Linked DNA regions of Rhinolophus ferrumequinum. The protein of the gene in region 2 binds, or shares a complex with, the protein of the main gene of each other region. Links are inferred from orthologs where the notes say so. Each region holds a gene or a part of one and is shown on either strand. Other genes may lie near its edges. The genes, in order: RAC2 and cytochrome b-245 heavy chain.

Region 1 (3,918 bases), on a different chromosome or scaffold from region 2:
TAACTGACTGACCAAGTGTGGGAGCGGCTGCATTTCCCTTTCTGCAAAAGCCATGTGTGCCAACCCTGTAGCTTGTGTGGACAGTTCTGGAAGGGTTCAGCCTCTGGGTGCCTGGGGGAATCCTAGGCTCTGTCCTCACAGGGAGTAGGAGGGAAGCTGTCGCCCAGCAGAACCCCCGCCTCCGTCAGCTCCACACTCTCCCCCAGTTTCCTGGTTTGTCCTGAGTGAGTCCAGGCTGGATGACCAGTGGCTCTGCCTATCTTGTGCCTGGAGCGGGAAGGTGCTTTGTGTGGGGAGCTGTGGCAATAAATATTATAGTAAGGACTAAGTGAACTTGGAGTCCATTGGGGAGTCCCAGTACTACTCAGATCTGAGTCTTCCATGGCTTAGGGGGAGCACTCCATCCAAGAGCTGCAGGACTCAGCCATTGTTCCCCCAGACAGCAGCTGGGGCGCCAGGAGAGTTTGGAGTCACCTGACTTCTCAGACCCTCTGTTTCTGCATCTTCAATATGGGCCATGGTTCCGAGTTCCAGAGTGCCTGGTCCCACAGGACTGTCCCTCCAGCCCAGGGCCTGGCTGGCGTGGGGCACTGCCCGTCACTTCCCTTCTATTTCCCCTTCTCCATCAGCTGAGCCTCGTCTTCCTTCCTTCCTCATCTCCCTCCTCCCATATCTGTCATCCTTCCACCCTCAGGGGTTCCCACTCTACCCCGTTTGGAGGAATGTCTATATCGTGCTCGCGCAGTCCGCTCACCTGGAGTGCGCCCGCTCTGACACATTTAAGTGCCGGCTTGAGTGCCACCGTACAGGCCCCAGCTCTCCCTCTACGTAACTCTAGGTCTCCTCCCTGCAGATTCCCTGTGACTCCATCACTTTCTGTCTTGTTTTATGGACAACTGTGATGAGGTCGTATCTTCCCCAGGGACAAGCTATTCCTCTTGCATCCTGGACTCCCCAGTACCTGCTACTGTGGCTGGCACACAGTAGATGCTTACTAAATGCTTATTGCTTAGAATTGAGGTGAACTGAATTCTTGGAAACCTCAAGTTCTTGGAGAACAACTCTGGCCCTGCCCATGGAAGCGAGTCCACAGCTGAGAGGGTCCCTAGGTCACCAGCTGGTGCCCCATAGCAGGGATGCTCACTGGGGCTGCCAGGACCCAGCCTAGTACCTGAGGCCCCCCCCCCACCCCCCTGCTGGTCTGCCAGACCGCATGCTCCGCCTTCTGCAAACGGCTGTGAGGGCAGCAGTTTAGGCAAGTTCCGCTTCCGCTTCCTCCTGCCTCCTGTCCCCTGCTGCTGGGCTCTGGGTCCCTCACCAGGCTCTCCACACCCCTGGTACCCGCAGAAACGCTCCACACCCTGAGCTGTCACCGCCGCCGCTCCCCAGGCCCCAGACACGATGCAGGCCATCAAGTGTGTGGTGGTGGGAGATGGGTAGGTACCTGGCTGAACTTGCTCACAGCCCCCTACCAGGAGCCCTGGCGTCCCTGGGGAAGCCCCCTGCCCCGCAGGAGTCCCTGGGAGGCAGCCAGGAGGAACCGCCCCTTCTCCCAGGAAGCAGAGGGAGCCCCCGGGTGGGCTGAGGACAGCTTCACTCTCTCTGCCCACCTCACCCTGGAAACTTCCTGGGTGGAGGGTACAGGACGGTGGGTGGCGATGCCTGGGGTCCCTCACCGGCACTCTGAGAGCTGGGGCAGGTCTCCCATAGGACCTCAGTCTTCAACTCTGTGGATGCAGGTGGGGGGTAGGGAGCCAAAAATCTGCCCTTCGTCCCCAGGCTGACCTGGACTCTAGTCACTGGCTTATTCTGCTGTGTGGCCTTGGGCAAGTCACAGCACATCTCTGAACCTCAGCTTGGCCATCTGGGAAAAGGCGCACGTCCTCAGGGTTGATGTGGGGTCACTTCAGGCGTTTTGAGTGGCTGTCCTGCACATAGTGTGAGCTCAATAAATGTCCGCGTCCTCTCCCCTCCCCCTCACAGCTGCCTGGTTGGGGAGGATGTGTGGGGGTGTGAGCGAGGAGCAGAAGTAGAGAAGAGGAGAGAGAGAGAGGGAAGGAGGAGGGACGGAGAGATGAGGGTGGCTGTGGGGGTCAACATGGGACCGGCTGGGCTGAGACACCTTCTCAGCTGTCAGATTTAGTGACCTCAGGTTACCCTGTCACCCTGGAGGCCTCAGTTTCCTCATCTGTGAGATAACTGGTCTAAATGCCAATCTCTCGTGCCTCCCAGGAACAATACCTCAGGGTCCAGCCCACGGGTCTGTCCTGGGATTTTCCATAGGCACAACCCAGGACATCCCAGCATGTTCTAGCTGGGCAGGCCTCTTGTCCACCTTTCCTGTTCTATAGATGGGTAGCCTGAGGCCTCAAGAGACTCAGATCTTTCCTGGCCTGGGTCCCTGTGGCCCCTGCTTACTTTGGCTCTCATGGGTCGGTGGGGGTGGGCCGGCTGATCAGGCCGCTCTCAGCTGATTCTGATGCATGGCTGGCTGTTATCTGCCTGCCTGCCCACTTCTGCTTTGTATCTGATCTGAGTTGGGGAGGGCGGAAGCCAAGAACAACGTTCTAGTCATTCAAAGTTACCTTGGTGGCAGGCCCTGGGGAGGGCAGGGTGGGGATGAGAGGCAGGCCAACTCCTCAGAACGGGAAATGACGAAACAGTGGAGCAAGCGGGGAGGGCCACGGCTGCCCCTTTGGCCTCCACCTGGGCCCCGTCCCAGCCCAGCAGGCTGAGGGGAAGACAGCACGAACAGCAGGTGATCACAATTTATTTAACACTTAATATGTGTCAGGCAATGGGCTTAGTCATCCTCTCTATTTTATCCTCCTACCAATTAATACTAGGACCATTTTACAGGTGGGAAAACTGAAGCTCGAAGCAGTTAAGTAATTTACCCAAGACCTTATGGGCTTTGAACCCTGGTCTCTCGGACTCCAGAGCTCCAAGCTCTTAACTGAGATGCTCTCTGGTGAGGCAGGATGGTAGAGGAGGGACAGGCTTTCCCTGACATCGGCTGGCGGCTATGCTGTGCCCAGTTCTTTTATGGACTTCATCTAATTTACTTCTCAGTACACCTCTCTGGGGATGGACTCACCTTATACCTATCTTCTAGATGGGGAAATTGAGGCAAAGGGAAGTTACCTGATTTGCTCCAAATCGTGTCACTGGCAGGTGGATCTGGTGTCTGAAGCCTAGGCCTATGGTGGCAGAGCCCCGCTCAGGCACCAGGGGCCCTGCAGCATTGGCCAACCCAGTAGGTCTCCTGGGTACCGACTGCCCTTTACCCTCTGTCCCACATCAGTGGCACCTGGGAAAGTTCTTTCAAAATGGATTTCCAGTTCGCCCCACACCCATGGATCAGCATCTCTGGGGTAGAACCTTAAGCCTGCCCTTTAACAAGCACTCCAAATGACTCTATGGCCCTCAGGTTTGAAAACGCTGACCTGGGGATCTTCAGATGGGGAAACTGAGGCCAAAGGGGTGGGCCTGGGTCTTCCCTGAGGGCTGGGTTAGAGAATGGGGCACGTGCTCTGAAACCTCCCCGCATCTCGGCCAGGGCCTGTGACAGCTGTCCTTCGGAATGTCTTGTCTTTCAGAGCCGTGGGCAAGACCTGCCTGCTCATCAGCTACACCACCAACGCCTTCCCGGGAGAGTACATCCCCACTGTGTGAGTACCGTGGGCAGGTGGGGTGCTCGGAGGATGGGGAGACATGCATCATCAAGCCCACCCCCTTTTCAGGCACTTCCTGTGTGCCAGGCTGTGTGTGGGCACGTGGGGATCGGGCAACGAGGAGATGCCCCCGCCGGTCTGCCTGGCAGAGCTGCCTGATGGTCTGGCTGAGGAGGCAGGCCAAGATGAGATGTCAGGGTGAGGGCTGCGGGCTCCCAGAACGGAGAGAGAACGTGTCAGGGTG
Region 2 (3,918 bases):
GGGACAGATGAAATTATTTTCATCTGTAATGAAGAAGAAGAGACCTGGCAGTTCAATGAAACTGGAATTTCCTGAAGATCATTTCATAACATGTCACTAGGAGCGGGGCTCTCCATGCACAAAAGTGGTAGGAATCAGATGATTTACAGAATATGGAAAGTCCCACTTGTCCCACCTGTGTTACCCCTGGATGGATCTCTTCAACCTAGTCTTCCATTCCAGAGCTATTATTAGATGCCTCCTCTAAGCTAAACGTTTCTCCAGTGGTTTTTGGGAAGAGAGGGATGTTGCTGTGACCCTCTGCCACACTTTTGTTTGTCCCACACTGGAAAGCCTAAAGACTCCTCCCCAAGGGGTTGTAATGGAGGGAGTGAGGCTGATGGTGCTGTTCAGGTTGGTCAGAATATTTATTGAAAATGTTAAAAGGAATATGAACGTGAATTTTTGATTAAAAAATGTGAGCTAGTCAATATTGCATGACATGGAACTTATACTTACCCCAAGAAGTTTTCGAGTGTAAAAGAATTTCGGTGGATCATCATAAACCTTGTAGTACCAGACAAAGAGGAAGACGTTCAACCCCAGCCATACCAGCTGCACAAAGAGAAACAGTTGCATGAAGTTTTCACATTTAAACAGGTACATTTCACACAATGTTGGTGTCAGACCAGGGTCAGGAGTTTCCCAACTCCAGCCTTTGATACGGGTGCTTACAAAACTGGTTATAACCATTTTAGAGCCAGCTCTTTCCCAGGCAGCATTGTTATATTTCCTTGTTATTAACCTTTCCACCCCATGTTGTTCCCCATTATTGTTTTACCAGTTGGTCAGTATGCTGAGTTATTATCAGTCTAATTTCCCTCCTTTCTTTCTCCTCCTCTTTTCTTTCTAACCTTAGATAGAGAGACGATAGTAGGTGACTCTTTCTAAAAAGACAAGGGAATGGAACACGTTGCTATGTTGTCCCTTGCTCCAGTAGGACACTGTGTTCTACTCTCACAGGTGCCGATAAACTTCCTCCACCACACACACAGCATCCCACCCAGCTAGTGGGGGTCTCATCAGCTAAACAGTCAAGCCTTTAATTGTATTTGATAACTTTTGCTTAACTTTTGAAGGAGGGGATATTGAGCATGAATGAGGGGGTGAAAGTCATAGGATTTTTTTTAATTGCTTGTTTCATCTGAAGCACTGACTGCATCAATCGATGATACTGCCCAGTCCTCTACGTTCAGCTCCATAGTGATCTTTTTTCTTAACTATGTGTTGAAGCACTAAATGTCCATAGACACTTGAGAACAGTCTCTCTTTAAAAAGAAGGCACTAAAACAACTTGTCTGTTTCCTAATCTTGTCTTTTTTACTCTTGCTTTTCAAGTGGTGCCTTCATTTTGAATTGAATATATGAGTATGTAATTAGAAGGTCATTTCCTGGGGAAAATTGTGGTAGGATCTAAAAGTATAATTTGAACTTGTTTTCTACAGGAGTTATCTGTTCTTCAAATGGTGATAAGAAATCAAGTTAATAGTTCTGACTCCTCAGAAGAATTCTATATTGCATTTAAATGTTGCTTTGGCATAATTTTTTTACATGACAAAATATTTGTTGCTTTAATTATGTTTGTGCCACTAATTTCTCTGTATCTCGAAAACTCAAAGACTGAATATTTACTTCATGATTAATTCTTTCAAAAGTTCCTTTTATAAGAGTTCTGTTTAACCTCTGTATAATGCTTTCATTGGATATTTGAAAAGGATAGTTATAAATCACATTTCTATCTTCCCAATTATCCATGATTGCTTTGCTGAGACCACCATCATAAAATAATAGTTGATATTTGTTATGTTAAAAACTAAATAAACTAATGTGTTTATTTGAAAATTAGCCATATCTTTACTTACAAAAATTATTTCTCAAGATATATTATATTGATTTATATATATAATCACATATAATATATATACTGTATATGAGTCTAGATATCTAATTTCAATTCCCTTCCCTTGATTTTTTTATAAACTTTACAAATAACTCAAATTACCTCAGAGAAAAGAAGATACTTAAAAAAAAAAAACCACAGTTGAGAAGTTCAATTATTTTTGGTGTAATTACTGAAATAAAGGCCAATTTCCCGCACATGAACCAGTCTTGTACTTATTCCTTGGAAAATGGCATAAAATTTTGATTGCCCATTTTTAAAGTGGTATAAACACACAAAAAGTAGAAATTTGTCTCAGAGCAAATATTAATAAACAACTCAGACTCAGGAATCATTATCATGAAATGTCTTCTACTCCCTCTGTGAAATGCTGGCTAATTTAGTACTCCTAAAAACTCAAAAAATAAACTAGGTGAAGTGAGCCCCCAGTTACATTCTTTCCAATACTAACTTTGAAAGAATGGACTCAGTCTGCTTACAAATGCATGCATGTTCACACAGTAAATCAGTTTCAACACAATTTGTCAAATAAACAAAACAAACAAACAAAAAAGTTTTTTTCTATTTTAGTTCCCAAAAGAACCCAGACAAGTCAGAGGATTCATAATGTATCTCTCATTGGTACTTACAATGACAAAGATGGAGAGTCCCTCATTCACAGCCCAGTTCCCCATGGTGGCAGAGGTACAGTGTCTTGTGTCTGCCTTTCTTCTCTGCTATGCTTCTTCCTCCCATGAGGAAATGAAAATAGCGCCTTGGGGCAATCTGTTTCCTTTTCTACTATCAGGAAATTTCTAATCATTGGTCAACTGAAAAGCTTATATTCATAAAAAATTTCAATCTTTAAACCACAAACTACAGAGAAAGGGTCTGTAATGATCCAATCACAACCGAACATAGTGAAAAATGAATGAAACTAATTTTTACAACTGAGTGACAAGTAACAGTGTAATTCATGGGATGTATTTTACACAGTGAATTAAAGTTTTCTTGAAGTTGTGGTTATCCTTTCTTTTTAAATGTGTTCTCAGTCTTTTTTATTAGCATATTTTATTACATTAATATAAAGTGAATTAACTTATCAACTAGAAATTTTTTAAAAGTCACCCAACTAGACAAGACTTTATGCTGGGTGAAAAACATTAAGTAGGTGTGATATTTTTTGATAGGCTAGAGCAGCTTTTTCAGCCTTGTTGAGAAAAATAATAACAATGGTGATGGTTAATATTTATAGAATGTCTATGTTGTGCTAATTTTCTAAGCTACGTATGTATGTATGTACATACACACGTATACATATATATGCACACACAAATATATGTGCATATGAGTTGATAAATATATGCGTGTGTGTACACACAATGACACACACATATACAAATTCAGTATATGTAATTCATTTGATTCTAACAATTCAACCTGTATAACATAGGTTCTATTATTATGACTACATTTACAGATGAGGAAACTGAGACCCAGAGCAGTTAAGGTACTTGGCCAAGGTCACGCAGTTAGGAAATAGTGGAGCTGGGATTTGAAACCCAAGCAGTTTGGCTATACTTTTAACCATGATACCAGAAACAAAAAAGCCTGAGTGTGCCCACCCCATCCAAAATCACTCCAAAGGCTCCATATGTATAGGAAATAAAAATATAACAATATACTAAAATGTTGGGATGACTATAGCATTCCCAGGCAGACATGGCATTCTCTAGGCTAGGAACAAAGGTCAGAAACAGGGTCAGAACAAAGGTAGGTCAGGTGTGGTAGATGCCAAAAGCCAGATTTAGCATTTTTTTCCCTGACTACTAGTCAGTCGTCAGGACATGAAAGGGACAGGAGAGCAGGATGGCAACCCCACTATGAGATCAAAGTTGACTAATTGCACAAGGGTTATTCCCTAGAGAGGTAAAAGAAGAAATTGGAGGAACAGAAGTGAATGAGAGAAGAAAAAAGAGGAGAGGCATGAATTCTTTTGG

What was found.
Region 1: cytochrome b-245 heavy chain (region 2) and RAC2 share a complex: the UniProt entries of both Homo sapiens proteins name them as parts of the phagocyte NADPH oxidase complex. The link is inferred for Rhinolophus ferrumequinum from reciprocal best matches to the Homo sapiens genes CYBB and RAC2.

What each region holds. Positions count from the first base shown.
Region 1 is NC_046293.1:9,575,163-9,579,080, forward strand, and holds the start of RAC2 (ras-related C3 botulinum toxin substrate 2), read left to right. Parts: upstream 1-1,265; 5' UTR 1,266-1,401; coding exon 1,402-1,436; intron 1,437-3,599; coding exon 3,600-3,671; intron 3,672-3,918. UniProt on the Homo sapiens protein: Plasma membrane-associated small GTPase which cycles between an active GTP-bound and inactive GDP-bound state.
Region 2 is NC_046284.1:95,746,958-95,750,875, forward strand, and holds the start of cytochrome b-245 heavy chain, read right to left. Parts: upstream 2,715-3,918; 5' UTR 2,614-2,714; coding exon 2,569-2,613; intron 595-2,568; coding exon 499-594; intron 1-498. UniProt on the Homo sapiens protein: Catalytic subunit of the phagocyte NADPH oxidase complex that mediates the transfer of electrons from cytosolic NADPH to O2 to produce the superoxide anion (O2(-)).